Linked DNA regions of Oryzias latipes. The protein of the gene in region 1 interacts with the protein of each later gene in a pairwise test. Links are inferred from orthologs where the notes say so. Each region holds a gene or a part of one and is shown on either strand. Other genes may lie near its edges. The genes, in order: tada2a and sf3a3.

The links.
Region 2: the proteins of tada2a (region 1) and sf3a3 interact in binary tests that used the Homo sapiens proteins (3 or more experiments, as listed by UniProt). The two-hybrid records come from large-scale screens. The link is inferred for Oryzias latipes from reciprocal best matches to the Homo sapiens genes TADA2A and SF3A3.

What each region holds. Positions count from the first base shown.
Region 1 is NC_019871.2:10,126,387-10,141,562, reverse strand, and holds the start of tada2a (transcriptional adapter 2-alpha), read right to left. Parts: upstream 7,107-15,176; 5' UTR 7,006-7,106; coding exon 6,981-7,005; intron 6,591-6,980; coding exon 6,484-6,590; intron 4,963-6,483; coding exon 4,903-4,962; intron 4,822-4,902; coding exon 4,730-4,821; intron 2,170-4,729; coding exon 2,012-2,169; intron 1,358-2,011; coding exon 1,269-1,357; intron 1,075-1,268; coding exon 1,002-1,074; intron 912-1,001; coding exon 848-911; intron 1-847. UniProt on the Homo sapiens protein: Component of the ATAC complex, a complex with histone acetyltransferase activity on histones H3 and H4. Required for the function of some acidic activation domains, which activate transcription from a distant site. Binds double-stranded DNA.
Region 2 is NC_019869.2:17,925,663-17,941,111, forward strand, and holds sf3a3 (splicing factor 3A subunit 3), read left to right. Parts: upstream 1-7,419; 5' UTR 7,420-7,574; coding exon 7,575-7,670; intron 7,671-7,771; coding exon 7,772-7,819; intron 7,820-8,542; coding exon 8,543-8,595; intron 8,596-8,686; coding exon 8,687-8,792; intron 8,793-9,349; coding exon 9,350-9,422; intron 9,423-9,787; coding exon 9,788-9,879; intron 9,880-9,958; coding exon 9,959-10,041; intron 10,042-10,121; coding exon 10,122-10,260; intron 10,261-10,340; coding exon 10,341-10,409; intron 10,410-10,480; coding exon 10,481-10,548; intron 10,549-10,780; coding exon 10,781-10,888; intron 10,889-10,972; coding exon 10,973-11,042; intron 11,043-11,124; coding exon 11,125-11,289; intron 11,290-11,371; coding exon 11,372-11,482; intron 11,483-11,565; coding exon 11,566-11,656; intron 11,657-11,742; coding exon 11,743-11,798; intron 11,799-11,898; coding exon 11,899-11,976; 3' UTR 11,977-12,140; downstream 12,141-15,449. Other genes in the region: ubiquitin-conjugating enzyme E2 E1, read right to left, coding at 767-817, 1,132-1,277; glycoprotein endo-alpha-1,2-mannosidase-like protein, read right to left, coding at 15,074-15,449. UniProt on the Homo sapiens protein: Component of the 17S U2 SnRNP complex of the spliceosome, a large ribonucleoprotein complex that removes introns from transcribed pre-mRNAs.

The DNA.
Region 1 (15,176 bases):
GTTTATTGCCGGAATAAAAACAAAGAAAGGAAGTGTCTAAAAAAAGGTATGTGCCCAACCTAATAGGACATTCCAGCATGTTCCAGGAATCAAAAATTTATTTCCATGAAAGTACTTAAAGTTGCTTGCAACATTTTCTTTTCTAAACCGAACAGAAATTAGCTGGCTATGAAAAAAAACAACCTCTAATCATAAAGCTCTCATTGAATAAAAAAATATATTTTAAGTAAAACATAACTGTGATTTCATATTTTTTATGCAGTAAGATAATTTTAACCAGTTTGAATATTAAAGGTACACAAAAAAGTACTAATATTGAAAGTCACCACTTAAAAAAGCTCCACATTTGCACAGATAAGCAGAAAAGAGAAGGAAAAAAAATTGTTCATGTGAATTTGAAAGTGTTTTCTTCCAGCAGGAAAAACAGTTGCCCTGCCAGCCCAAAACTGGGCAGAAAGTCAAACTGTTCACAAAGACGTAGCCTTTGCCTGCGATGCTGCAAAAATATTTAGGAAATAAAAGTAGCTTCATTTAGAGCCTCTCACCTCAATCTAACGATGTTCATCTTAACAAGAGCTGAGGAAAAAGTCTAATGAAAAAGCATCACTTATTCTGCTATATCTTCATTTTTGTTTAAAGTTTTATTGCTATCAAATTATAACTGTTTGTAATAACTGATGCGTAATTGTTAAATAGAAAGAAGATGGGGTTTTTGGGTTTTTGGCTATGTTCTACCTGAAGATTGTGTTTGGGGAAACAAATCTCCAGAAGATCAGAACAGACGCTTATGGCGCCATCTGTTGATTAACTGGTGTTATTACAGGATGACGAATGCACAAGAACTTACTTCTTCCTTCTTTGCCGCTCCTTTAACCTTGAATGATAAATATCAACAACTGCAAGCTTGAGAGCTGAAAAAAAAGAAGCACACATCCCAGACGAGCATTAAACTCATAGCTGTTATGGTCTAGAGCGCAGTGGAGCAAAGAGGAAAATCTCACCGTGAAGGATGTCTGAGTCATCGTCCACAAAGTCGATGTCTTTTAAATCCCATTCTGCGTAGTTGTCAAACTCCTAAAGAGACACATGAAAGATGATTTGAGAATCCCACTGGCTTGATTAAAGTCCACAGAGCAGAAGATCTGATGCCTCAAAAGCAGCAACAAAGGCGTGAGCCTCGGTTCAATAATACTCACTCACAGCTCTGCTGTGGCAATTCATTCACATGGACAGGCTACGTTAGAACACAAAAATGACAGTGGCCTCACCTCCATGAAGTCTGCTCTGGCTGGCATGTAACCCGCCATGTCCCGAGAGAGCACCGAGTCAAATATGGGCCGGGGCGGGTCGTCACAGGCTGGAGTGTGGTGCACAAAAAAATAAAGATCTCACAGTCACTGATGTGAAGATTTTTAAACGGACTCGTGAATAAACTGTACTTGGATTTGTTTTTAAGCTCTGACACTGACTGCAACCACCTTTACCTGCTGCTCCTGTCCACATTTAGACTATTTGTAGATATAATATCATTAATCTTTTCTGGAAATTCTGAGACTGTGGAACAGCTTTCCTCTAAGAAGACTTAAAGACCCACTCCCATGAACATCACGTTTTTGGTGCTTTTACATCAATAAATAAAATGAAACATAAAATTGCATTTCTGAGTATTTCTACACAAGTAGTTGTGAATCTTAAAGAGGAGATGATCAATAAATAATATCTTCACCAATAGCCTTCAAAACAGATTTAAAACACAATTAAACCCCAAACAATCAGCTTTGCCTACGTTTAACGCATTAGCAAGCTGTCAAGGGTTCAAATCCCAGACAGTTATTGTGTGTCTTTGGGCCCTTTACCCCACATTGCCCTCATTATAGGAAACAGCTTTTTAGCGTGTCGTTTAAATGAGTAAATGTGAATGTACTGAGGTGCTTTCTTCATGCACGATGCCTTCATCTCATTCCTTCTCTGTAGAATCAAATGAAAGGAGAGTCACTATGCAGGAACATACGTTTGAAGGGGATTGCTCCTTCTGCAAAACGAGAATCTTTCGTTTTCTTCAGGCTGAGTAAGGTGGAGGAAAACAGGGGGTTGTTGATGAAATTCTTCATGTAGTGGCTCTCGCACTCCTCTTTGGTTTTTGTGCGCATCTGATATGCCACGTCCTGCCTGAGAAGAATGAACGCAGACAATTAGAGGACTTTTCTCAACATGGCATGTGTGAAAGATGATGTTTTTACGGATTAAAAGATACAAATTTGAAGTTTTAATTAAACCTGCAACTGCCTAGTATTCTGGTATTCTTATTACCTTCATTCCATTTAATTACCGTACTCAGATGTAGAGGTTCCAAAAAAAATGAATTAGCCCTTCTTTAGGCTTGAACATTTGGAACAGCATGAAGAAAATTCTTATATACCGTAATTTCCAGATGATAAGCCGCTACTTTTGTCACACGCTTTCAAACCTGCGGCTTCTTCAATGATGCGACTAATTTCTGCATTTTTATCTTTTTTTTATGCATATTTTCTAACGCCCGCTAGGGGCGCTCGAGCAGGGGGAATACGGTATATGTGTCGAGGAAGACGCAAGTTTAATGTGAATTCCCGCTTTGGGAATGAATAGCACAAAAAGACCCTCATTATAGAAAATGCAAGAAGAAATGCTTAAGCAGCTTTAAGTTAAAACCAATCGTTAAAAGCAGTGTGAAAAAATCCACCATCACCAACGGGTTTGGAAAACCCGGCTCAGGAGTGAATTTGCCTCAGAGTGACAATGACAGCGACAACGAAAGAGAGACAGAGAGAGTGTGGGGAAGAATATCTGACGCTGTTCCAATCTGACACTGAGGAGGAAAACCTCCATGGTTTCAGTGCACAGGAGGCGCGTGTCACGCAGAGGCGTGCTTATAAGTTACTGCTGCTTTCAGTGACTTTTTTTTTTCTTCTTTCAGTGACTTTTACCGGTATGTTTTTTTTTAACAAGCCCTGTTAGTGCTGTTACTACCATATTGCTGCCATGTCACAGGCACTGTTTGGAATAGAGCTGTGACGGTGTGGGATTTTTGATGACCGCTGTGATGAACACAAAATCCTCCGGCGGCTGCGTCGCAAATGAATACCGGTACAAGTACGACTGCACGATATGAAGAAAACTCGCGATATGCGATATTAGTAATTAATATTGCGATAACGATATAATTTGCAGTATATAAACAATTAGCAAAACAACCAAAAATATTATTCCCATTCCATTACAACAGCTTAAAAATTATACTACAAATGACCCTTGTTGACATAGGAGGCGAACATACAACATAATAGGGCGCCATCCGATTAGTTAACAACGTGAAGAGGTCCATCTCATTGGTCAAATGCAGAAAGGGATTCTTTCAATCCATTAAACACTTCAAGCTGCCATAAGATTGTTTGGCCACATCTAAGGTAACCATTTATTGCAAATTTGCTGTCTTTTGCGATATGCATATTGCACAGCTTGATATTGCGATAACGATAAATTTGCGGTATATTGTGCAGGCCTACGTACAAGTAATAATTACAACGCACTAATCTTTATTAACAAATAACCGTAACAACTAACTACTATCAATGAACTAACTATATTGGTGTTGTAGAATGAGTATGTGTGTGTCAGTGCACTGTGTGTGTAAGAGGAAGGAGCACTAGCAGTGCAAGAGTAAGTGACAGCCTCCCTCTAGCGCTGCACGCTCTCCCCTCTTTCTTACACACAGGGCTCGTGGTTTCAGCACATACACATCCTCATTCTACAACACATGTTTCAATGTGGGCACATGCAGCTTATGGACAGGTGCGGCTTATGTATGTACAAAATGTTTTATCCTTTAAAAATGGAATGGGTGCGGCTTATAATCAGGTGCGCTCTATATCCAGAAATGACGTTAATCTGTTCCTTTTAAAGAAGCACATTGCGACGTTAATAACAACACAAACAACAAAACTTTACATTTCTACATTTCTATCCCCTCCTTAACCCAGCTCGGTCTCAAGCTTACGTTTGTGGATGTCTTACTTCAGTTCTCTGCTTGTATTTTTTAAATATCCCATTTTTAAGCTTTTTTTTTCCAATCTATGCAACTATGCTTGTAGTTTCTTTCAATGTACTGTCCAGTGAGTTGCATAGATTGACTGCATATAGTGATATGTGTGTCTATTAGTTGTGCGTGCAAGTGGCAAATTATATTTCCTCCTGTCGCTATCGTCTTATGAAACAAAAGAAAAAACGGATTGAATGATGTTTGGGAGAATTTTCAATTTGGCTTTTAACATGAATAATAAAGTTTTTAAAAAATCAATTAAATTATTAGTGAATTCTCTGCTGCCTTTTTGTTGATTATACTAATTGCTTTTTTCTGTAAATGAAACAAAGGCTTTATATATATGGACAGAATATGCTTTTCCCCAAACTTCGAGGCAGTAACTAAATTACACTTAAATTAAAAAACAATATAACCACTGTTAAATAATATTTTCACCAATCTTCTTTTTTAAATAATTAATGTGAGATTTCCATTAAACAGCAGAAATGACTTGTAAAAATTGTCACATTTTGAAACCAAAAGACAATGAAACTAACATGACACCAATGATAAATAGCTAAATGATAAAACATTAAAAACTTGCTTTTTGAAGTTAGTAAAAATAAGTGTATTCAAAAAGAAAACACTGGTAAAATGTCTTCGACCTCTTACCAGTTCCCAAACCCGCAATCCATGACTGCCTCCAGCAGAGCCATCTCCTCCTGCGCCGTCCATCCAGGCTCCAGCACCGGGAAGTCTGAAGTCTGAGTCGAGGTAACACAAAAGATGCCCGCTAAACATGATGTTTAGCTACACCCGAGAAACTCAACTGCAGCTCCACTCACCATGATTTCATATCTGTGATCACTCTGATGCTTCTTGTATTCAAATCCTCTGGTAAAACACTGGAACGAAATAAGTTCAGGGTAAAGCTGGTCAGGTAAAAGACACGATTTGTTCATTAAATAAAAGTTCTTTGAATGCACTGAGGAGGTTTTCTTAACTGAGAAAAGTAAAACTTACATGCAAATTAAGTGAATTCATAAATTGTATCGATATGACGACCATGAAAGAAGCAGCAGTTATAATGTGGCTTATTTTTCAAATAAACCCAATCGTAAAGATCTGGTCATTTATTTCCCCATTAATTTAACAGTGAAGGAAATCATTTTGCAAAATAACAAAGTTCTAATCTAGAAAGAAAAAACAAGTGCATTTTTGGAAGTAACTAACAAAAGAATTTGTATTCAACACAGGTGTGTGAGAAAGCACAGTATTAAACCAGGTTAGACACAATTTGACTTCATCCTTTTAAATAATTTTAAAAGATTTCATAATATCAGTGTGCTATAAAACTATAATAAAGCGTCACTTTTTAAGAAACACATTTAGAAATGTGATCAACAACATTGTAATGTACTTTTAATACCCTTTTACTACAGAATGTAATACTATATTTAAAAACTGTACTTATTAATATATAGTTGATATATTTTATAGATACAAAATTAAATATGTCAATTATTTTAATTTTTAATAAAATTGTATCTATCATAGAATATTTGTAACAATAGAAAACCCTAGAAAATGTAACACTTAACACTCATAATAAAGAACATACATACAAAACATTATTTGGTTTAGCAATACGATCTAATGCTATTTGAACAAATTCAAAATTCAGAGTGCAAAAGTATTTTAATTTGTGCTACATGATTTTTTCTCAAATGTAATAATGTTTCTAAGGCAATAAATATATTATTTAATAATGGATGTAAGACTTACCGTATATCCTCCAATAATAGCCCTGACATTAATTGAAGACCAGCCACTATTGGAAGATATATGGTATTGGCAATGTAAAAAATAAATAAAACAATTGTTAAGAAACAGGATAATCAGTGGAACATGAAAGAACTGGACGGAACACCCTGACACCTCTTTATTATACACTGCCGTGGGATGGCATCATGTTCTTTCATTTGAATTTTTTTTCTCAAATCAGGTATAGTAGTTAGAAATCTGTGGAAGGCGATCAGTGCTGGGCGGGCACTGATGTGGAAACCTCCAGAAGTTCCAAAAATAAGGGTCAATCAATGGCTACAGAAATAAAAGCAGTTTGGCTATTTGGAAAACCTTGCATACCTTCTGCTGCTCATTGCACAAATGCGCGTTCCTCACAAATATGGACTCATTTAAAATATAAAGCAAACTAATTTTGCAGAAGTCTAACATTTATTGCCAAGAAGTTTTGCAACAACAACAAGGAAATACTGGGCTAAAAAAAAAAATCGTAAGGTTTTGTCCAAAGTGTTTAAACTGTGGTCTGTCTGCGTAAAGTTACAGCTGAGTTATTCGGTTTGTGTTCAAACACACATTCTAAAGAGCCAAAACAAACAAATTATAAGCATCCTCATCTGGCTTACCTGAAGACACAACAAAAAAGGTGAAGGTCCACATTCTGCGCACTTGATGTATGGTTCGGTTAGATGGGATGAGCAGCCTCTGCAAGGCGGTTTATCAAAGGGGTCATCTAAAATGAACAGAATAATTATATATATATTATCAGTAACAGTTTTAATAGTAACAACACGCAGTTAAAAAAGATACATATAGCCTAAAGTCGTGATTTTGGGGCAAACTTGAATGCACAAAACAGATGTTATCTTGGGCGAAGGACTAGCTTTACTAGTCGAGCTTGAAAATGATGATAATGTTGAATGTCTCAACAACAGGTCGAATATTTTCAACAAATCACTGCGGCAAACAAAAATAGCATTGTTTTTGACGGCGATGCTAATGCTAAAGATAGCTTAGCAGACCTTGCTTTATGGACAAAAACAGCTAACCTTCCAAAAAGTCGATGGATACTTGGTAAAACTGCAATAAATTCAACTGTGTGTATAATAATGCCAATACGTACCTGAAAAAGACGCTATTCGGTCCATTTAATTGCTATTTGCTTCTCAATAACAACACCAAAATTGAATTTGGGTCGATCTGTTTTTCAGAACTCGGCTATGTGCCTGATGACGTCATAACTAATCGAGCTCCGAATATCGATAGTTTTGGTCGTGTATCACCACACAAAATGATATATATACTATTATGTTTTAATAGTTGTGTGCCATGTCCTCATAGGTTCTTACAAAGGCAGAAGAAACTCAAAAATTTGAACAGAAAACAAATGTTGTTTAAAAAAATGTATGAAATATATAAAAAAGCCACATGGAATATTGCATTTTAATGCAAAATGATTTTTATAAAAAGGTATTTCATCTTTAACTTTCTTTTCCTTCTCTTAAGATTTTTGTTTTACATTTATTTTGCAATGGGGAGAGATTTTAACTTGTTTTTAGTTTCTCCATCTCATCACCATGACGACAGTACTTCCCTATATTGCCACAAGGTGCTGATCTTGCTCTATGTCTCTTAAGGCAACAATGAGCACCCTGAAAGCCTTTGTCTCCCTCCCAGCACAGATGATTACCTGAGGCTTGCATAAGCATCATGTGAGAAATAGAAATAAAGATGATGAATGTTCTGTGTCACAACACCCCCATGCTGCTTTTTGTCCTCCATAAACTTTTTGCAGAGGTGCTGCCTGGCCTGCAAAAGGCTTCAAGACATTTTCTTTAATATGAAAACCAGCAAATATTTATGAGTACCAATGTTTTCCAGTGCCTGTGTCCAGGTTTGGCACCCCCAATTCAAAAACAGCTCAAACACCCTCAAGAGCATGCCAGTGAGGGCCCATGAGGAGCCTTAGGAAAACAAATATCTGAAACCCTAATGCATAAAACTGCAAATCCACATGTGCCAAACTCACTTAAAGGTAGAAAAAATAAGTATTTGAGTGAAATGACTGATTTAGTACAGATGTGGCTGGAAAAAGGACTGTTTGATTTTCATGAAACCTCTTAACCTCTCTGCAGTTACTAATTATGACAGTTTTTATTCTAATATTTGCATTTCTGTCATTGATACCAGAAAATCTGATTCCTTCTTTCTTTGAGGTGATTCAGAGCAAATATATTTAGACTGCAAATCCCCACAGAGGATGAGGGCAGCTTCCTAAACCACATGATGGGTTAACTCTGAATGGGCTGCTCTGTTCCAGCTTGCTTGAGCCTTCTCTGTGAGTTCAATACATCCTGATTGGTCTGTTCGGTAGCATCCTAGCCTGCGACTCATCTCTGGAGCCTCTAGGGAGAGACACGGTTTTTAACGATAGTCTGTGTATGTTAAGGAGATGCACGCACACTCTTACTCTTTTGGAGGAATTTCCAGCTCACCGTCATACTAGCTTGTAATCATCCTTTGAGAGGGTCATGATTTATTCACCTATGAGGAGAGACTTCTCCTTTTTGTGTAACGGTTTGCTGTTGTGTGTTGAGCCAGAGTGAGCTTCCTTTTTTGTTCCTGGCTGCAGCATTCACACCACATGCCCACAAGTGTGTGATCAAACGTGGCTATAAAGGCCACAACTTTTCAGGACTATCTCAGCAGAAGAGCCCTTCTATCAACTGTTTGTTTCACTAAATTATTAAATTCGGAATAAATTGATCAGGAATTAGAAGATTTTTGGATGTCATTTATTATTGTTCAAGTGTTTTTTTTAAAACATTTCTCTATTCAAATTTAATTGATCCAACATGCACTCAGTATATTTGTTTGTTATTCTTAGAACTTTGTAAAGTTCATGCTTTTTTTGTTTTAAAGGTCTATTTAACAGCCTTAAAGATTCTAAGGAGGCCTAAAATCGGCTGAAATGGCATGAGACCAATCTGGGGACTTTTTGAGAGATTTTTACGGTGACCATAATAATTTATCTTTATAACCGTTTTATGTGTCAATTTTAATATCCATTGTTTTAGTAAAACCCCAGATTATTTTCTTTCCTTGATATTCCTCATCATATTGAACAGCAATTTCACCACAAACCTGAAACTGACCTGAGTGGTAAAGTTAGTCCTTTTTTACTGCAAAAAAAACATCAAAAAATGTAATCAAATTGTTTTTTTATGTCTCATGGCAAAGCTTGAACATATACAGACAAAATAAAAAAATTATTTTTCCAAAAACAAAGCAAAGATATGATCAAAACAAAGAGAAAAATGTCTAATAAAACCAGACAAAGCTCCACAAAGCTATATGTTTAAGGGATTTGTTTCAAGGGGTATCTTAATTATGTGTCATAACAGTTGTCATGATTGGTCTGAACCAAAAGTTTTAAAGCTAAAAACCTTTTGAAAACCTTCATTTTGGGTGAAGAATATGCTAATGAGGGATCATTGTCATTCCTATGTCATCGTAAACAGCAAATGTGATTGTCCTTCCTACTACTGATCGTTAAATTATTCTGTAATGAACTTACTGTACAAGGCATAAAATGTTCATTTTTTTCTGCTGGGATGCTGGCATTTCATAGATGTGTGTTGGCTAAAAGACACGTCTGTGCCCAGCAGTTGCATTTAATTAAGTACAATTGTATGTGTAAGGACCATTTGAAATGTCACGGTCAGGATTTGCATTAGCACACAGTAGGAATTCACATCTTGGCAGGAAATGCAGAATGAATGCATTTTCCATACGGACAGTAACAAAGAAAAGCGTGTCAGATTTGTAGAGAGACGTGTGTGCTCCCCTGCGATGGCCTCTGCTTCAGCATCACCGCCTTGGGGGGAGGCACAGGACCGTCTGACTCTTCATCCCTGTTCCACCTCCTCCCTTCCTCCGGCGCCTTTACGCAGCAAAAATCTTTTTCTGCTACAGCTGTTTGCCAAAATATAACTGAAGCCCGACTCTTAAAATAAAAAATGCCCCCCCTTTAGTGCACACGTCTTTTCTTCCAGCAAATGCACCTCCCAGCTGCTGTGATTTAAATATAAGGGCCCCGTGAAGAAAAGAGGGCATCTGGCACACGCCTTCAGGGCCTTGACAAAAAAAAAAAGCACCAAACAAAGCAGTTAATCTGCTCCTGCCAATGAAAAATCCTAGAATACAAATGGGTCAATTCGGAACATAAGGAGAAGGAATGGACACAGGCCATTGAAAAAAGTCTGGACAAAAGACAAAAGGAGGAGGACAAGTGCAGGACAGACAGCCTCAATCAAAGATTTATATTCACTGTAGCAGCAGAGCTGATGACATTTATTAAGCTGCGCTATTCTTACTGTGGCAAACCAGCTTCTTTCAGGAGAAGGCGTTTTCTTGAAGCTTTTTTATAAACGTTTAAAAAAAATGTAAAAACATTTTGTGATTTGTGATCAAATCTGATAACTTGAGTCAGTTTCTCATCCATAGACAACAAAACTCTGAAAAAAGGGTTAATATATACATTTATTATGTCTTTTCCGATGTTCAAGAAACAAAATTAACTTAAAAAAAATATTATTTATTTTGAGAATAAACCAAGACATATAACAAGTACTAGTTCAATAAAGTTCACAGTGTCTGTATCGACAACTGAAATCTTAGGCTCTTCTTTTATCGGACACCCGTGTCTGATAAAAGATAAACATAATATCATATAACAAGTACATTGGAAAAAATACAAAATCTCATCAAGTATTTTTATCTAGCTTTTATTATCCCTTTATACTTGACATAAGACAAAACTAACTTAACAGTAACTGTACAGTACGCTGTTATGACTTGTTTTAAGACAATACATCTTGAATTTTTGGTTGAGTCATTTAATCTTGAATTCTTGAACAAAACACTTTTTCAAACTTTTCTTGTAAGCTAAAGTTTTATTTTTGAAAGCTCTTATTTAACTGACTTTCTTGATTTCGTTTTATTTACATATATATTTTAAAACATATTTATTTTAAAATTTGCAGCTCTAAATAGTATTCTTATTTTTTGGTGAAATGGTCTAGAAATAAGGATAGTTGGATAGTTGCTGTAGTATTTAAAATTGGATGTATTTTGGAGGACAAGTGTCTAAATATACATACTTGCTAAAGATGCTAAACTTTTTATGAGCAAAACACGCCTGGTTTAAGAAATCATTTTTCCAATTACCAGAGCAATACACTTTAATATGAATGTTTAAAGCCTATTTCAAGCTTTATTTAATCTAAAAGGGCAAAACAATTAGTTCTATTGGCAGATTTTTTTCAATTATAACAACAGAGAAATGTCTTGTTCTTTTTTTTCTGTGAGAAAGACTTTTTTCCAGAGTAGCACGAAAAAGTGCAACATACAAAAGACCTGATGCCCGAAAAATAAAAAAACTAAAGTCTTTAATACTGAACAGGACTTCCCAGTTGAAACAGGATAACTTGATAATTAGAAACTAAGATCTGGTGTAACAGTAACTTGGGGGAAGACCCAAAACAGAACTTAAAGACTAAATAAGATTACATCAAATGCCAAAAACTAAACACGACTGAGCAAATCTAAAGAACAAAACACCAAAAAGATAAAGCAAAGAAAGCAGTGTCAGCGTTCTAACGTGGGCAGATGTACACGTTTGTGTGTGCAGTCAAAAACACAAAGACACAGTGGAGCAGCTGTCAAGTGGCAGACAGCATCCTTTGTTCAATGACAGATTTTAACAGCAGCTCCACTGCATATTGCCACACACTCACGTTCCAGATTTGCTGTTAACTACTTTCATGTTTTTGGTTCCTGACTTAGAAGAGATGGTAGGAAAAGCGGACAAACCAGAGAACCAAATCTCGACAGAAGAGTGTCTCAATCTGGAGGAATCCCCACATGACAGAAGTAACTCAAAATCCCGTCTTAAGACTCAGAGCTAAGTGTGTTGACTCAGTTACATTAAATAGTGTAGTTTTTTCTGCCTGGAAGCCTCCACCAGCCTTGACTTTCAAGTGTTTTCCAAGCTGTTGACACACAACTGCACACTTCACATTTAAACGCAGCCACAAAACTATTCAACCATCCAAGCAAACGTGACTTTTTTCCAGAGTACTTGGTTTGATCTGAATAAATCAACAAAAAAACAAAAAAAGCGTCAACAAAAATATGTGTCATCATTCGCTTTTGCTGATGAAAGGTTCCCCCTTCACATGTGTTCCTCGTTCCAGCGAGTTCAGCGGCATCTTCTCTCCATGCCAAGGCGCCTTTGAGGAATCAGCACAGCGGGAGTTCAAGGAGGTCAGCAAGTGGGTGTGGAATGTTAGTTTTTCCCATGCAGAGCTACGAAACACTCCAGCAGAACATCTTTGTTGATACCTCACAGTTGTTTACCTTCAGGTTCATAATGGATTACATATAATGACAACCAATGCAGCCCAACCCTCTATAGAGACATTCTGTCAGGTATCAATCGATGTGATTTCAGCCACTGAGGAGAGTGTTTACAGAAGGAAAAAAGTGTTTCTATTTATTTATTTGCCTTAAAAGTCACCTTTTGGATTTTAAAAAGAACTGAGGGAATAGTTTAGTGTCAGAAACTCCACTTAAAAGGTGAGACAGACACTCAGCAGAGTTTTACACACAAAGTAAACTAATAGAAAATCTAAAACCCAACCAACCCAACCCTTTTCCAACATAAATCCAGAGACTGGCTATGTGTGTCCTTTTTAATAAAATGCTTCACCTTGACCTGTGACACAGGAAACAAGAGTTTGATGCAGTAATAATGGAATAATGACAAATGGGCGGGGGGCGTCTTTAAGATGGGGAGGTTACAGGTGCGGACAAATTAATAATACCTTTGCTTGAATTAAACAGAATCTTTTTGCATTAATTCCTATTAGACACAGAAAAGGAGTATGCAGCGATTTGTTGGATGGAACTAACAGCACATTATTCCTGGATAATGCTACCCTTTTGCTCTGTGCAGCGTTTGTTTTATGAGTTCAAGAACTGCCAAGATGTGTTTCACGCAGACCAGCAGCCAAGAGGGACAGCTTAACTTGGAGAAAAAAAAAGAATTTATTCAGACTTCGCCACCAGAAGCTCAACATTAATCAAAGAGCACTTAGAGATAAACTTTTAATACCCGAGTACATGTATGTGTAAGGCAAGGCAAGGCAAGGCAAGTTTATTTGTATAGCACAATTCGTACACAAAGTAATTCAAGGTGCTTCACAAAACAGAAAAATGCATTAAAATCACAATACATCATAGAAATAATCAACATAAAATTTACTTTAAAAGAAAAGAAAAAAAAAAAAAAGATTTAAAAAGAAAGGAAGGAAAGAAAAGTGCAGATAGGACCTTTCAGTCATATACACGGCTAAACAGAAATGTTTTAAGTCTAGATTTGAACATGAACACAGAAGAGGCCTGTCTTACGCCTTCAGGGAGGCTGTTCCAGATTTTAGCTGCAGAATATTGAAATGCTGATTCCCCTTGTTTAGTTCTGACTCTGGGAATCAACAGGAGGCCGGTCCCTGAGGTCCTCAGAGTACGAGATGGTTCATATGGCACTAACATGTCAGAGATGTACTTTGGTGCGTGGCCATGGAGAGACTTGTACACAAGCAGAGCTGCTTTGAAGTCTATTCTTTGAGGTACAGGGAGCCAGTGCAAAGACCTGAGCACAGGACTAATGTGATCATACTTCCTGGTTTTGGTCAGGACTCGAGCAGCAGCATTCTGGATGTACTGAAGCTGTTTTACAGCTCGTTTGGACAGGCCGGTGAGCAGGCCGTTACAGTAGTCTAACCTACTGGAGACAAATGCATGGATAAGTATCTCCAGGTCTCGCTTTGAGATTATGTTTTTGATTTTGGCAATGTTTTTCAGGTGGTAAAATGCCGCTGATGTTACTGACTTGATATGGCTGTTAAAGTTCAGGTCAGAGTCCATGATTACCCCTAGATTTCTGACTTGATTTGAGGGTTTGAGAGACAGAGAATGAAGGTAGCTGCTGACAATTTCTCTTTGTTTCTGTGGGCCAAAAACAATAACTTCGGTCTTGTCTGAGTTTAGCTGGAGAAAGTTGTTCTGCATCCACGCGCTGATCTGTTGGAGGCAGTGGTTGAGAGAATCCACCGGCCCATATTCACCTGTTGTCAGTGACACATAGATCTGAGTATCATCTGCATAGTTGTGATAAGATATGTTATTACTGCGTATTAACTGCCCTAGTGGCAGCATGTAAAGGTTGAACAGAAGGGGTCCCAGGATCGATCCCTGGGGCACACCACAATTCAAGCCCATGTAGTCTGAGACACAACTCCCAATTTCAACAAAATATTTCCTGTCTTCTAGATAAGACTTGAGCCAACTTAGGGCAGATCCAGAGATGCCAACCCAGTCTTGGAGTCTGTGCAAAATGATCCCATGATCAACAGTATCAAAGGCAGCGCTCAGGTCTAGCAGGATTAAGACAGAGACTTTTCCATCATCAGTGTTCAGGCGGATGTCATTGGTTACCTTGATAAGAGCAGTTTCTGTGCTATGATGGGGTCTAAAACCTGACTGGAAAACATCAAACGAATTGTTTAATAAGAGAAAGTCAGTGAGCTGTTGGTAGACAACTTTTTCAAGGACTTTTCCTAAAAATGGCAGATTAGAGATAGGTCTGTAATTATTCAGTACAGTGGGATCAAGACCGCTCTTTTTCAGGAGGGGTTTAATGACTGCAGTTTTTAAGGCCTCTGGAAATATTCCAGATTGAAGAGACATGTTAACTATTTGAGTAATTGGTGGCAACACACTGTTCAGGACAGACTTTAGAAATCTAGTGGGTAACACATCAAGGCAGCATGTAGACGAGCTCAGACGGGTGATGGTCTCTTGGACAGTTTGGTCAGTGACAGGTATAAAGTGAGTCAGCTTAGAGTGAGTAGGTGGCCGTTCGATAGTTATATGTGTTGTGGAGTTGATGGCTTTTTTAATGCCCTGAACCTTGTCATTGAAAAATACAGCAAACTCATTACATTTAGGTGTACAAACCAATTCTATTGGTAGCTGGGTTGGAGGGTTAGTTAATCTGTTAACTGTTGTGAACAGGATACGAGAGTTGCTGCTGCAACTTCCAATTATTTCAGAGAAGTACCTTTCCCTTGTTCTGCATAAGATCTGGTTATAAGCGTACAACTCCGCCTTATATATTCCATAATGAACCTGGAGTTTTGACTTGCGCCACTTTCGCTCGGCTCTGCGGCACTGTTGTTTCTGTGCCCTGACTAGA
Region 2 (15,449 bases), on another chromosome or scaffold:
TAGACTATAGGTTGAAATGGAAGAACCGTGTGGGCGTCTGTATGAATGAAGAACTATGGCGGGGGAGGAAAAGGAGGCTCTCTGCAGTAATAACGACCGTCTCACCAAACGCACATGGAAGAACTTTATTATATACAGAAACAGGAACAGCAATACAGATAGGTCCTGATTTAAACGCCGTTTTGAAGTACGCTGAAAGCGTTCCACCAAGATCCTTTTTTCTATGACGTTGCTGAATACTGATGCTCAATAATTTCGATTTTAAACTAAACTCCGCTTCTCCACCAAAAATCGGGAAATGGACTTTCAAATGGTGACACATTTTAGACCAGTTTCTGAAATCCAATCATGTGCATTCACCCCCCCCCCCACACCAAAAAATAAATAAAAAAGGAGAAAACTCTACTGGGATCCCCCTTAAATATTCTGTTCTATATTCGATATTCTATTCAGCGGTATTCCAGTTGAGATTCGTTTAACTTGGAGCAGCTTGCAACAGGTTTTATCACCTCAAACGTTCCCCTCCAGCCGTCCTGACCTCGGATAGGCTAGAAAGTCCCTTAGAGGATAAAAGCCAACCACTAAAAAAAAAAAAAAAAAAAACGCCCACCAAAAAAACAGGAAGCTCACATTAAACAGAAAAACTTGTCAAACCAACAGTATTTTTCTTTTGTGAAATGTTAGTCAAATATAATAATTTATTTTCAAGTCCTGTATCACAGAAATCACTACATTCACCTGCATATTGTCAAAATTAAACATTTACCTGCAGTTGGGAGGAGGATCCAGTGTGATGTCAGCCAGCTCCTTTTGAATTCTGAAGGAAAACACAAGATTTGTTTCCTCATATGTTGTACTACAGTGGTCCAAGAATGGAGCCATGAGGGACACCTTATCAGTACCAGTTGGCATTCATGATCCGAAACCCTGTTTCCAGATCAAGTTAGAACACTGACGCTCAATGATATCAGCACAATGTTTTGTAGGCCGATAAAAAGGATGATTATCAGCATCTCAAACATGCTAAATCTGTCTCGAGGACTAGTCCTGGATTTTCCTAAGTAAGAGAAGATCCAGGACCAAGGAGATCTTCCATTAAGCGATGAGTACAGTATAAAACTCAGCACTGACCTTTTAGCGCTAGTGGACAGTAGTTTAGAGCTCTTGCTCATGCTGGCTTTGCTGTCTTTCTTTTTCAGATAGTTGGTCTCCTGTTGCCGGTTTGAAGATGAAGATGAAGAGGAGCTTGAGCTGGCTCTGGAATCTTCATCCGACATGCCGAGCCCCAAGAGCAGATAAAAACTGGAGGAAGGCTCTGAAACAAATCGTAAAACTTGATTGACTGACTGACTGTAACAAACAAAAACCAAACATAGTAGAGAGCAGCTTTTCATCCACAATGCATTTCTTCTTTGAGGTAAGGAAGTTCTCTTGAACATTAGTAAAATAAAAACCAATGCTTCTATGCAGATAAACTAGGAACAGCAGGAATAACCGTAGATTTATCCTAAACCAGCAGGTTCAGCTTTAACGAGAAGCCTCCATACCTAAACTATGGTATTAAATAGCACTAGTAGCAGACTCCATTCTTTAACCATCAGGGTTGAGCCTCAGTTAGATTTTCAGAATAACCAACAGGAATGATCCTGCCGAGCTTCTTCTTTTTTTTGTTGTCACATCAGCCTTCAACAACGGAACCGTCTGCGGGAGGCTCCGTCCAGGTTCTGACCACCACACACCAGAGAGATTAACCAAGCCGCACACCCGAACCCCACTGTCGAACGAGTCTCCAAAGAGTGCTTGAAGAGGCAGAAAAGGATTAGCACCGTCCCTACACAGAACCCGACTCAGTTCGACCCGATGAACTTTCGTGCGAGGAGAGTCAGCGAGGCCGCAGCCAGAGACAGTGCTGACTTCACCGAGCGCCTCTAAACGCCGCACAAAGGCGCCATTACTCCTGAGCTGTAGCCTGGACTAACCTATCTGCAGCCCTGGGTTGATGGGCTCCGCTGACCCCGGTCCCTGTGCTCTCAGGCGGACTGTCAGAACACAACCACGAAACCCACGTCGTAGTCAATTGTTCAGTTCACGCGGCAGCTTCGTGAATACCATCTATGTGCGCGGGGAGACTGCGTGCCTCCGCCGCTGAACGCAGCACGTACGTCAGTCTGCGGAGAGGAGCTTCCGGTTTCATCCCCCAAAATAAGAGCTCATAGAATTGCTTTATTCATTGAATTTTTTAAACTGTTTTCAAATATCTATCGAGAATAAAAAAAACATTTTCTTTTCCGTGGATTAAATTATTTTTAACTCTTTCTTTCTCTTTCGGCTTTTCCCATCAGGGGTCGCCACAGCGAATCATCCTTTTCCACCTCACTCTATCATGGACATCTTCTACCCTAACATTAGCCAACTTCATGTCCTCTGTTAAGACATCCATGTATCTCCTCTTTGGCCGTCCTCTTGCCCTCCTGCCAGGCAGCTCCATCTCCAACATCCTTCTACCAATATATCCACTATCCCTCCTCTGAACATGTCCAAACCATCTCAGTCTGGCTTCTCTGACTTTGTCGCTAACACAGGCAACATGAGCCGTCCCCCTGATGTACTCGTTCCTTATCCTGTCTAACCTGGTCACTCCTAAGGAGAACCTCAACATCTTCATCTCCGCTACCTCCATCTCAGCCTCTTGTCTCTGTCTCACTGCTACCGTCTCTAACCCATAGAGCAGAGCTGGTCTCACCACTGTCTTGTACACCTTTCCTTTGAGTCTTGCTGGCACTCTTCTGTCACACAACACTCCTGACACTTTCCTCCAACCGCTCCAACCTGCCTGCACTCGCCTCTTCACCTCTTTTCCACACTCCCCATCACACTGAACTGTTGACCCCAAGTACTTAAACTCCTGCACCTTCTTCACCTCAGCCCCCTGTAACCTAACGCTTCTACCTTGATCCCTCTCGTTCAGACACATGTATTCTGTCTTACTACGACTGACCTTCATGCCTCTTCTTTCCAGAGCAAACCTCCACCTCTCTAGCTGTTCCTCCACCTGCTCTCTACTCTCACTGCAAATTACGATGTCATCTGCAAACATCATTGTCCAGGGAGATTCCTGTCTTACCTCGTCTGTCAGCCTGTCCATCAGCATAGCAAACAAAAAAGGACTCAAAGCTGATCCTTGGTGTAGTCCCACCTCCACCTTGAACTCCTCTGTCTGACCTACAGCACATCTCACCACCGTCATACTTCTCTCATACATGTCCTGAACTACTCTGACATACTTCTCTGCCACTCCAGACGACCTCATACAGTACCACAGCTCCTCCCTCGGCACCCTGTCATACGCCTTCTCTAAATCTACGAACACACAATGCAGCTCCTTCTGACCTTCTCTGTACTTTTCCATCAACATTCTCAAAGCAAAAATGGCATCAGTGGTGCTCTTACGGGGCATGAAACCATACTGCTGCTCACAAATCTCCACCTTCTTCCTAAGCCTGGCTTCCACTACTCTTTCCCACAGCTTCATTGTGTGGCTCATCAACTTTATTCCTCTATAGTTGCTGCAGTTCTGCGTGTCACCCTTGTTCTTAAAGATCGGAACCAGAACGCTTCTCCTCCATTCCTCAGGCATCTTCTCACTCTCTATAATCCTATTGAACAACCTCGTTAGAAATTCCACTGCTGCCTCTCCTAAGCACTTCCATACCTCCACAGGAACGTCATCAGGACCAACGGCCTTTCCGCTCTTCATCCTTTTCAGAGCCTTCCTAACCTCATCCTTTCCAATCTCTGCTACTTCCTGCTCCACAAAAACCACATCTTCCTCCCTTCTTTCCCTGTCATTTTCCACGTTCATCAGCTCCTCAAAATACTCCTTCCATCTTTTCTGTACACTCTCCTGGGTTGTTAGCACCTTTACATCTCTGTCCTTAATCACCCTTATCTGTTGCACGTCCTTCCCATCTCTGTCTCTCTGTCTGGCTAGCCTGTACAAGTCCTTCTCTCCTTCCTTTGTGTCTAACCTGTCATATAGCTCATCGTAAGCTTTCTGTTTGGCCTTTGCCACCTCTCTCTTCACTCTACGCTGCGCTTCCTTGTACTCCTGTCTACCTTCCTCAGTCCTTTCTACATCCCACTTCTTTTTAGCCAACCTCTTCCTCTGGACGCATTCCTGTACTTCCTCATTCCACCACCAAGTCTCTTTACCGTCTTTCCTCTTTCCAGATGACACACCTAGCACCTTCCTACCTGTTTCCCTGATAATTTCTGCTGTAGTTTCCCAGTCATCTGGAAGCTCATCCTGACCACCCAGACCCTGTCTCAACTTCTGCCTAAATTCCTCACAAGTTTCTTCATTCTGTAGCTTCCACCACTTGGTCTTCTTTTCTGTTTTCCCTCTCTTCTTCTTCCTGACCTCCAGAGTCATCTTACACACCACCATGCGGTGCTGTCTGGCTACACTCTCTCCTACCACCACTTTGCAGTCAATAACCTCTCTCAAATGACCTCGTCTACATAGGATGTAGTCCACCTGGGTACTCCTACCTCCACTTCTGTATGTCACTCTATGTTCCTCTCTCTTCTGGAAGTAAGTGTTGACTACAGCCATTTCCATCCTCTTCGCAAAGTCCACCACCATCTGTCCCTCCAGATTCCTTTCCTTCACACCAAACCTGCCCATCACCTCCTCATCACCTCTATTGCCCTCACCAACATGCCCATTAAAGTCTGCTCCAATAACAACTCTCTCTCCTCTGGGGAGACTCTGTATGACCTCATCCAACTCACTCCAGAATCTCTCCTTCACTTCTAACTCACAGCCAACCTGTGGCGCATACCCACTGACTACATTCACCATCACCCCTTCAATTTCTAACTTTAGGCTCATCATCCTGTCTGAGACTCTTTTCACCTCTAGAACACTGTTTACAAACTCCCCCTTCAGAATCACTCCTACCCCGTTTCTCTTCCTATCAACACCATGATAGAACAGTTTGTATCCTCCTCCAATACTACGTGCCTTGCTGCCCTTCCACCTTGTCTCCTGCACACACAGTACATCTACCTTCCTTCTCTCCATCATGTCTGCCAGCTCTCTGCCTTTCCCTGTCATTGTGCCAACGTTAAGAGTCCCTATTCTCAAACCTATGTTCCTGCCTTTTCCCTTCTCTCTCTGGCCACGGGCCCTTCTGCCTCCCCTCTTTCTTCGACCAACAGTAGTCAAATTTCCACCGACACCCTGTAGGTTAACAGCATCGGTGGCGGTCGTTGTTAACCCGGGCCTCGACCGATCCGGTATGTCTAAAGTGGTGTGGATGATTCGCATGGTTATTTTGGCAATTTTTACGCCGGATGCCCTTCCTGACGCAACCCTCTCTATTTATCCGGGCTTGGGACCGGCACAGAGGCAACTGGCTTGCAACCCCTGTGGCTAGATTGGATTAAATTATTTTTAACTAGATTATTTAAAATAAATTCACAATAAATTATATTGTCAAAGTTGTTCAAAAAAACAAATTCAGTTTGGTAGTTTGCTCATGCATGAGCAGTAAAAGGTAGATAATAGATGAAAAAGGTTAAATATGATAAAAAATAAAATTAAAAAAGAAGAAAAAAGACAGCAATAACCCAGCAATAACGGAACACAATATGAGCCATTAAAATATCTGTGTGGCATAATTAGTGACAATATTTTAGGTTCATCAGAGGCAGAATCAGATACACACAGAGAAGGAATGACAACTTTTGTTTATTCTGTTTATTCTAGTTTTCATAAATGTCTTTTCAAGAGGATTGTGATGTGAACAGATTGTGTCCTGGGTGGGGGTGTTTCACATCTGTGTTTCTGGAAGTCAATCATTAAATCTTTTGTTTTTCAAACGTTTAAATCCAGTTTTTTAAGCACACGATGCTGAACTTTTAGTTTGTTGGCAGCTTAATTAGTTTTTGTCCTACCACAGCTGTGTGGTGGAACTTGACAATGGTGTTTAAATGATCAGTTGTGGTTCAGTCTTGTGTAACTAATGAATAAAGAAGAGGGGCAAGGACACTGCCTCGAAGCGTTCCTGTGTTTAGGATGAGAGAGGATTAAGTACTGATAGTTTGTGGTAGATATTCTGAGAAGAAGAAGAAATTATCTCTGTGTGTCCGTTAGTGTCCTTGCAGCACTGTTGAATCTGTTGAAGACCCAACAGATTATAAAGGGTTAAAGTCAGGACAGACAGGAGGAAAACACGGAGTAAAATCAGAACACTGTGGCGCCAGTCAGAGACAGCAATCACTTTCCGATCTCTGAATGATTGATCGCTGCGTCTCCTGTGGAAGCAGAGCATCCAGGAGTAAAAGCATCCAATCAACAACTGCTAATGAATAAAAAACAAACAGAAGGTGTTGAGCGGCTGCAAAAAAAATGCTATTGGTCTTTACATTGCGTGGCTTAAAATATTGCATGGGCTAAAACATTTGTAAAATATTGAAATGCAGAATGAGTGTACTCTACAACGCAATTTGTGCAGTGTTGTTCTGCACATCATAATGGTTTTGGAGAGGGTGGATGATGGCACTTTTACCTACAACAAGGGTGTCACAGTCTGATACTGAATATGTTACTGAGAGATTTAACAGCATGATGACGGGTTAGGAGGGATTATCCATGATAGATGTCAGTTTTACCAGCCTCCTTCTGATTCAGACTTCCTCAATAGTAGCCAGTTTGTAGCCCAGGGCCGAGCCAGCTCCCTTGATTTTGGGAGGACTCACAAAGATGTCCCCCAAGTGACACCCTGGGCAAGGCGAGATCCCCTTGCTCCCCCCTTGCCGATGGAGGTAGTGTCTTTGTCAGTTGAAGCTATCCGGAAATTGGGATTGGTGATGACCCATGTCCTTGTGAAACACATTATACCGAATTCTCTGCTCTCTCCCTATGTCCTGATGAACACTTTCACTTCATCCATGTAATTTGCACAAACCTCACATTTTCATTGATGACTGTGGGAATGCAGGACTTAAACTTCTTGTTCTTCATCCTCTGTTAGAGCTATACTCTGAAGCATCACCACCTCCTCTCTAAGGTGGGTCTTTCTAGCTTGAAAGTCTTAAATTCATATTTTCAAATGTATATTTGCCTCTAACTGTCAAAAACAACGAGAATCTGCATTTCTTGCTCATATACAACATTATAAAACACGAACAATGCAATGAAGTGCATTTTTTCCAGGCAAAACATTTACACTTCCAGTCTAGTTTAAAAACAACATTCCTTAAAAAAAAGTGACAAAACCAAAAATATTTTATATTAATGAGATTCCACGATCTAAAAGTAATTTTGCAAACCAAGCTTTGAGTATTTTTATTTAAAGTAATAGTTTAGTGTATGTCTGTTAGGGAAGCGGTTATCAAAGCGGAACCGTTTTACTGGGGGGTGTTTCTTCAGAAACTTATCTGGTGACGGACCCCGGCGTACGTTAGAATGCTTCAATAGAAACAAACGTAGTAGCTTTTTTTTGGTTTCATTTAGCGTAAAAGACAAGAAGAAAACAGGCAATCAAACTACGAGATATTCCCGAAACATGGAGACTATTTTGGAACAACAGCGCCGCTATCACGAAGAGAAGGAGCGGCTCATGGACGCCAAAACCAAAGAAATGTTACAGAAAAAGTCAACGGTGAGCTTAGCCGCTGCAGGCTAACGTTGGCATTACGTGCCACGACGTTATCCTCCTAAAACAGAAAATTAATGGTTGTAATGTGTTATTTGTTGTTTCAGCTTCGGGATCAGATTAATTCCGACCATCGGATTAGAGCCATGCTCGATGTAAGTAGAATTTAAAAAAAAAAAACAACGTTTTGTTGATGCTAACACAGCGGCAGGCTTACGCCACCGCTACAATGCTTAGAGCATAGTATTAGTTCAAAAGCTACAGATAGTTTTAAAATAGACATTGAAACATTGCCTTCTTAACTTAAGATGAGCTATCTTAAAGACGACCAATCATCCATAAGCTGTTGAGACAAGTGAAAATTTTACTATATTTCCTACTATAGACAACTCAAAGCGAAAAAGTATATAGTGGAGTCAGAAGAAGGACACATGATGATGAGAAGGAATAAGTGTTTTTTACTCCGATTATGAACTCATTTGTCCAAATAGAATAAGGAGACACACAGGTAGGTGTTGCTGCTTCCATTCATCCAGCAGCTCCATTGACTTCCATTTTCCGGTTTGAACTTAAAAATTTTGAGTTTACCTTCAAAGCCATTCACAAAACTAGACCTGTCTGTCTCTCAGATCTGGACATTTTGTTTGTATGTATTTTACAAGTAGTATTATCTAAATGAGATGCAATATAAACTACTGAAAGCATAGCTGTAGTAGCTTTAAATGAAGAAAGGTTGTACAAATATAACAATAACAGGCCGTCATAATTAAGACTTTGAAACTAAAATGACAAAAGAAGTTGAGATGTTTATTTTGATGATAGCACTTTAAAAAAATGGAATTATTCAAGAATGCTTGTGTCTAAATGTGTTTCGTCAGAGATACATGGATGTCAGTGCAAACCTGCGAGACTCCTATGAAGACAAAGATGGGTGAGTGTTGTAGTCTTAAGAACCCACAGGTCTGAATCTTTTCTTTTTCTTTACTGCAGCTGTTTTTTTTCTTCTTCTTTTCTTTTGGCAGCATGAGGAGAGACGAGCTCGCTGCCATCTCTGGACCAAATGAGTTTGCTGAGTTCTACAACAGACTCAAACACATAAAGGAGTTTCACAGGAAGCACCCCAATGAGGTACAGAATCCAGAGTTGTAACAGCACTGCTTTGTGTGGTTTGACAGATGGAGTTATTTATAAACGCTGCTTCATATCAGGAAAAGATTTAAACTATAGAGTGTGTTAGTTATTGTGTTAGGAATTGTGTTAGGAAGGCCATCCTGGGAATCATAAGATGATTCCCTGTGGTACCCACTGTAGGGAACAACTGAAAGGTAAAGAAATAGACTCGGCCACTTAGGTATCAAAAAATACTTTTCCTGTTCTGGGGTATGGACATTATTGGATTATCAGTCAGAAGCGCAACACAAAGCCCTCAGTATGTCAAATGTGTGTTTAATAGACCGACACATTCTGTGCCGGAATGTTGCTCATTCTGCAGAGCTTGAGGGGAACTGCTCTCTTTGGAGCGACTGAAAGTTGTGGAGGAAACCTTTTTGTGCATCACAGGATTGTTTTGCAGAAAATGTCAGCAGAAGGACACTTGGTGTTTTAGTAATGGCCATAATCCATGTGGAATTGTTGATGGTCATGTGACCTTCATTAAACCGTTTTTTAACATGTTTTCCTTGTAGATTTCCATCCCCATGTCTGCAGAGTTTGACGAGTTGATGAAAGCCAGTGAAAATCTCAGTGAGGAAGCTCAGAGTAAGTCGGATCCACCTCCAAAGCATTCTTTATCTTGTTCTTCTCTTTTACAAACATTAACTCTTATTAACAAACAAGAGTTCTTTCTCAAAGTACACATCTGTTTTAGTTTTTCCACCTTTGGTGAGCTAGATCCTAAATTCATTTTTTTTTGGGGGGGGGGGCTTAAATGTAGGAATTCCCTTCACAAGCCGGCAACTAGCCGGCTTTAAGTCTTTTTTTTGTATTGTAGATAAAAAATATATATATATATATATTTGGTCTAAAGTGTTTATGGATTTAATTTTAAAGCCTTTGTTTTAGTTTTAGAAAAATCGAGCAGAATAGTTTGAGTCTGGTTTGACCCAGATTTTTGTCTGCCTCAGACATGGTGGAGTTCACGGATGAGGAGGGATACGGCCGCTACCTGGACCTCCATGACTGTTACCTGAAGTACATCAACCTGAAGGGGTCTGAGGTCAGGATCCATCAGATCTGCTTGATCCGTGTCCAGATTCACATGAAGGTGCACTTTCTAACTGCCCTGTGGTTCTCAGAAACTGGATTACATCACATACCTGTCTTCCTTCGATCAACTGTTTGACATCTCCAAGGACCGGAAAAATGCTGAGTACAGAAAGTAAGTGTTTGTTCCGGCGAAAGTTCCGCTGTTTTTCCGCACGCGAAGCATTAAGGTGGAAAATGCTGCCGGCTGTGCAGATACTTGGAGATGCTGCTGGAGTACCTGCAGGACTACACCGACAGGGTCAAACCCCTGCTGGACCAGAACGACCTCTACGGCAAAGTGTTGACCGACTTTGAGAAAAAATGGGACAACGGGACCTTTCCAGGCTGGCCTGTAAGTTCTCCTCATTTGTCCAAACGTTTGAACACGATCTCAGATTTAAGAAACGTTGAACATAAACGTTTCTGATGCAGAAAGAAACGAGCAGCGCTTTGACACACGCTGGAGCTCATCTGGACCTGTCTGCCTTTTCATCCTGGGAGGTACACAGCGTTCATGCATGACTGATTGATGCGGTTGTCTTTCCTGTTTAATGCGTTTCTCTGTTTCTCAGGAGTTGGCCTCTTTGGGGTTGGACAGGTTGAAGTCTGCTCTGATGGCTCTGGAGCTGAAGTGTGGAGGGTGAGTGCTGCTCAGCTCTGATTGGTCTTTTACTATAGGAGACCAATCAGCCAATTTCAAAGCCTTAACCTCTTTGGTTGTCCTGTTAAAACTAAATGTCCTCTGGGTGACGTCAGAGTTTACCTGTCCAGCAGTTGAACTTAAATAGTGATAAAACCCTGGGGTTTGTTGGACATTTCTGCTGTGGCCTGATGGGCGTGAGGAAAAACCAGCATGATGTTGTTTGCTCCAGGACTCTGGAGGAGAGAGCGCAGAGACTCTTCAGCACCAAAGGCAAATCTCTGGAGTCGCTCGATCCATCTCTGTTTGCCAAGAATCCAAAAGCCAAAGGCCCCAAAAAGTAAGCAGTTTTAAAAAGGTATCCAGTCTAAATTTGATGGTGTTTTGTTAACGTCTCTATTGATATTCCCCTCCTCCCCCTCAGAGACACTGAGCGCAACAAGGAAATCGCATTTCTGGAGGCCCAGGTGTACGAGCTTGTGGAGATCCTCGGGGTGAGTGTGGAGCTGGTGGACTGGCTTCTGGTGCAGCTGTGACCTCGGAAGTTATAGCCGCCGCCTCGCTTGTCCTTCACAGGAGCAGAGGCAGCTGACACACGAGAACGTGCAACGGAAGCAGGCCAGGACAGGGGAGGAGCGTGAGGAAGAGGAGGAGGAGCAGCTCAGTGAGAGCGAGAGCGAAGATGAGGATAACGAGATCATCTACAACCCCAAGAATCTGCCCCTGGGCTGGGATGGAAAGGTAAAAGCCACCCGAATCATTCTGTGACGAGCTCTCAGCTTCAGTCATCGGAAGCTTCCTCTTGTGATCTTCTCCTCTCCAGCCGATCCCATACTGGCTCTATAAGCTCCATGGTCTGAACATCAACTACAACTGTGAGATTTGTGGAAACTACACCTACAGGGGACCCAAAGCCTTCCAGAGGCACTTTGCAGTAGGTGTTCGTTGTCAATGTGGGGTGTGCGTTTAAACGCGTGTGGGGGTCAGGTGTGGAAAAAAACCCGTCTTGTGTTGCAGGAGTGGAGGCACGCTCACGGCATGCGCTGCCTGGGGATCCCCAACACGGCTCACTTCGCTAACGTCACACAGATCGAGGACGCAGTCTCCCGTGAGTGTCCCGCTTGATGGGTTTTGATGTGTGTGCTTGTTGCGAGGGGGGGGCGTGTCACCTCTGATGTTTGTGGGATGTTGCAGTGTGGGCCAAGCTGAAGTCCCAGAAGGCTCTGGAGCGCTGGCAGCCAGACACAGAGGTGAGGTTTCCTCCAGAAAACTGTTGAGAACATGATGTGGACATGTGATGTGGACATGTGAGGGCTCACTTCTCATCTTCCCCCCCATCTGGACTGACAGGAGGAGTACGAGGACTCCAGCGGAAATGTGGTCAACAAGAAGACCTATGAAGATCTGAAGCGGCAGGGCTTGCTGTAGTTACTCAGGAAGGAGAATCTCCATGATGACTTTTTTTTTTAAATCATAACTGCTTAAAGTTTCCTGTTTTAGTCAGTAGAATGTTTTCCAGCTTGAGTTTTTTCCTCATAAACCTTTCTAACATGTCAATCTGTGAACAATAAACTGAAGACTTTTTACACAGATCTGATTGTCTGAGTTTGTGCAGCACACTGACCCTCATCTGGGAGAAACACTTCTACTAGAATCCTTATATAGAATCCAATTGATGACATTTCAGAGCTTCATTGACAGTTTTTATCCTTAGGGAAAATAAATGCAGCAGAAGTCATATTTTCTGACATGTTTCAGCTCATAACTGTAAAAACGGACACTGATGTCTAAAAAGAAGATTCCTAGCCGCACGGGTGGAGTTATGACAGATTAGGTATTTTAGCTGTTGAGCTGAAAGGTTTCTGAGTTCTCAGATTAAAGAAGAACTTCTGGTTCTTTGTCTCCTTTTAAATCTGTCTTTCTTTTATCTGTTTTTTTGTATAATTTAAATACATTGTAAATCAGCAGGTGGTATTTATCCCGATTTTTTTTTTTTAGCTATACAGTCTTTACAGTCTAAATGTTTTTCCTATAGTTGTCAACCTGTCCAGCTGAAATAGCTTCAGTTGTTTAACTAAGGAGCTATTTTTAGTTAATAGTCTTTTTCTTTTTTTTTATGCCTTTATAGACGGGGTCTATATGCGCTTGCAGAGGCAACTTTCAAGGGACCAGTGGAAAATGCCAAAGCCTTCAGTTTTTAAGAAAAAACAGATTCAGACTCTTAAAAAGTAGTAAAAGTCCACATGAGATCAACACTGAAGATAAAACACCTAACTGTATATTTAAGAAAGTATTTAGTCAATGTTTTCTCAGTAAACATATCGAGATTAATGTTTTGTAATTCTGTTATTCTTCAGCAGACTAAAGAGCAAGCATCTCCCTCTGCTGATGTGCTGTGATTTAGGCCACAAGGATCCAGGTCTTACACACCTAAAACCGTTTCATGAGTTAGTAACTCAAAAGATTCCAGCATCACTGGTTCCAAAGTTCTGAATTGTTGGGATATTGCTGAATTCTTCCTTGCTTGTAGACTTGTTTGGTCGAATTTAAAGAAGGATGTATTTGAAAATGTTGGTTTGACACAGGAAAATCATGGAGCTTCTTTCAAAAGCATGGATTCACACAATCTCATAAAAACAGTGAGATGAGCTTTAAGGCAAGTTTGTACGTCAGATGGACCGCCGCTTCCAAGGAGGTGATGGAAAGAAGGAGGAACCATGGAAACATGTTGCCAGAGTGACCTGTATGCTCTGCCGGTCAAAATAAAATGATAAAGCCTCCCGAAAGAACAAAAATCCTGGAATCGCCCCTGTTCCTGCCTATATCAGGCAAGTCTGTAGGACCATCCCAGAGGGGGAGGAGCCTGAAGCTTTTTTCTTTTATGGTTCCTGCAGAGCAAACTGTTAGAAAAAAAATCCCACACAGGAATGTAAACAGACATACTATATATTCACTTAGAAAATTACAGCAAGAACAATCATGGAGTTAGACTTCCTTTTTGTGAGTATTGATGTCCACACATGTAAATACGTTTTGCATCTGCAAAGGAAAATTTTTAAGGGCTAAACAATTAAGTGCTTTTGGAAAACTGTACATGAAAGATTAACAGTTGTAAAATTGTTTTGCACACTTGCAAAAATGTTTTTCTATCTTCAGAAACATTTGTCGAATCTTCTTGTGTTATTTAAGAAACATAAGATCATGGGAAACCTTTGTCGCATTCATGTTTACAGTCAGACCTGATGTGCCTGAAGAGAACCAGATGTTAATGTGAAAAAATGAAGAAATTAAACAGGAAGATTTTTTTAAATGTATGCACCTGATTAAACTGACTGGTTTTCCCTTTTGTATTAGCTTATTTCCTAATTAATTTCTAAATTAATAATGTAGGTAATGTAGCTATAAATAATTTAAAAAAGAAAAAAATGTGAATATTGAATCTTGCCAGTGGTAAAGAATCTTTCGTTAGCTGGAAATATCAATGACGTTTCCTGCAAGACAGAAAATTTCAGTTATTGTGTCAGTGCCCCAAACTGATGTCTTTACCTGGATTGAATCAAAGTTTATTTCAATTTATAGAAAAAAACAGACAGAAAAGTTGGAAACATATACAAATTTAAAATAAATGAATTTAAAAAGAAGTGCTGAAAAACAAAGCAAGTGGCTGAGGATGAACTTTGAGGTTCTAAATGACAGAAAAGTCTCCCCAGTGTTTGCCCTGCTCACCGTTTCATCTCATTGTTCAGATCATCTTTACGGAGACTGATTTATACTTGGAGCAGAAAATCCAAAACTATTTGAAACACAGACAGCAAAAGCATGGTGTGGTCAGGATTATCCCAAACAAAATAAAAGAAATCTGTTAAACTTGCTTTGGTAGCTAAAAGTTCAAGAATTTCTCCTAGTTTTTAGCTACATAACACAAGAAACAAATGGAAAAACACTCATTTACATTAAATAGAGTAACATTTTGTAATCTAGTGAGAGGTGATACACCGACTGGCTGCTGACTGGAGAAATGTGTTGAGTATTTGATCTATTCAGATGAAATATTCCTGTCAAAAGTCAGAAAATGGGACTTAAGTTTATGTTTGTAAGCCCCACCCCTCCAAAGAAAACACTCTTGTGGGTGTTTATATGCTGTTATGAGGACATGTAAAAATGTCTGAAGACAGGAAAGGCTTTTTTTTCTACGTGAGCAAAACCAATGTATCGCTGTATGTGTGTTTACACAAAGACTAAACCGTATTACAAAATCACCAAATGATTCTCAAAGTTTTTAACAGATCCACAAATTTTGTTTGTAAAACATATCTACATGTGTGGAGATCATTTAACAACTGCAAAATAATTAAAAAGAATATTTCTCCATAGAGTGTCCTCATCATCAGGGGAAAATTAGAACCTGGAGAAACTGGACTTCTTCTAACCATCATAATGCAATCAGGAAAAGACGACTGGCTGCAGCGAAGTAGCTTTTGACCTATTGGTCACGGAAAGAAGAGGTTTTCTCAGAGACTGAGGCTCACATCAGCCACTTGTCCTTCTCTTTGTTGAAAGTCTCGGCCCACTGCCGGGTGAGCTGCAGGAAGTGGTCTGGCTGGTTCGGCTGGTAGTCCAGATACAAACGTGTGACTGTTTTCTTGGGCACGGCCCTTTCTATCTGCGTGCCTTCGTGCCATTGGTTGAAGGACGTGATGGTGACTATTTCTGGCCTGATGGACAGGGCGGCCTGCAAGGACGTCTCATAGTAACGCCCGTTGACCCGGTTTCGGGTGTTGTGGTTGTTCCACGGACGCACGGCGGTGTCGATGTAACCTGGACCCACACTAGGGATGAACAGTAGATTATTTGTGTCACAGAAGGCCTTGATGGCCTTCCAGTTCTGGTGGGAGGAGCCA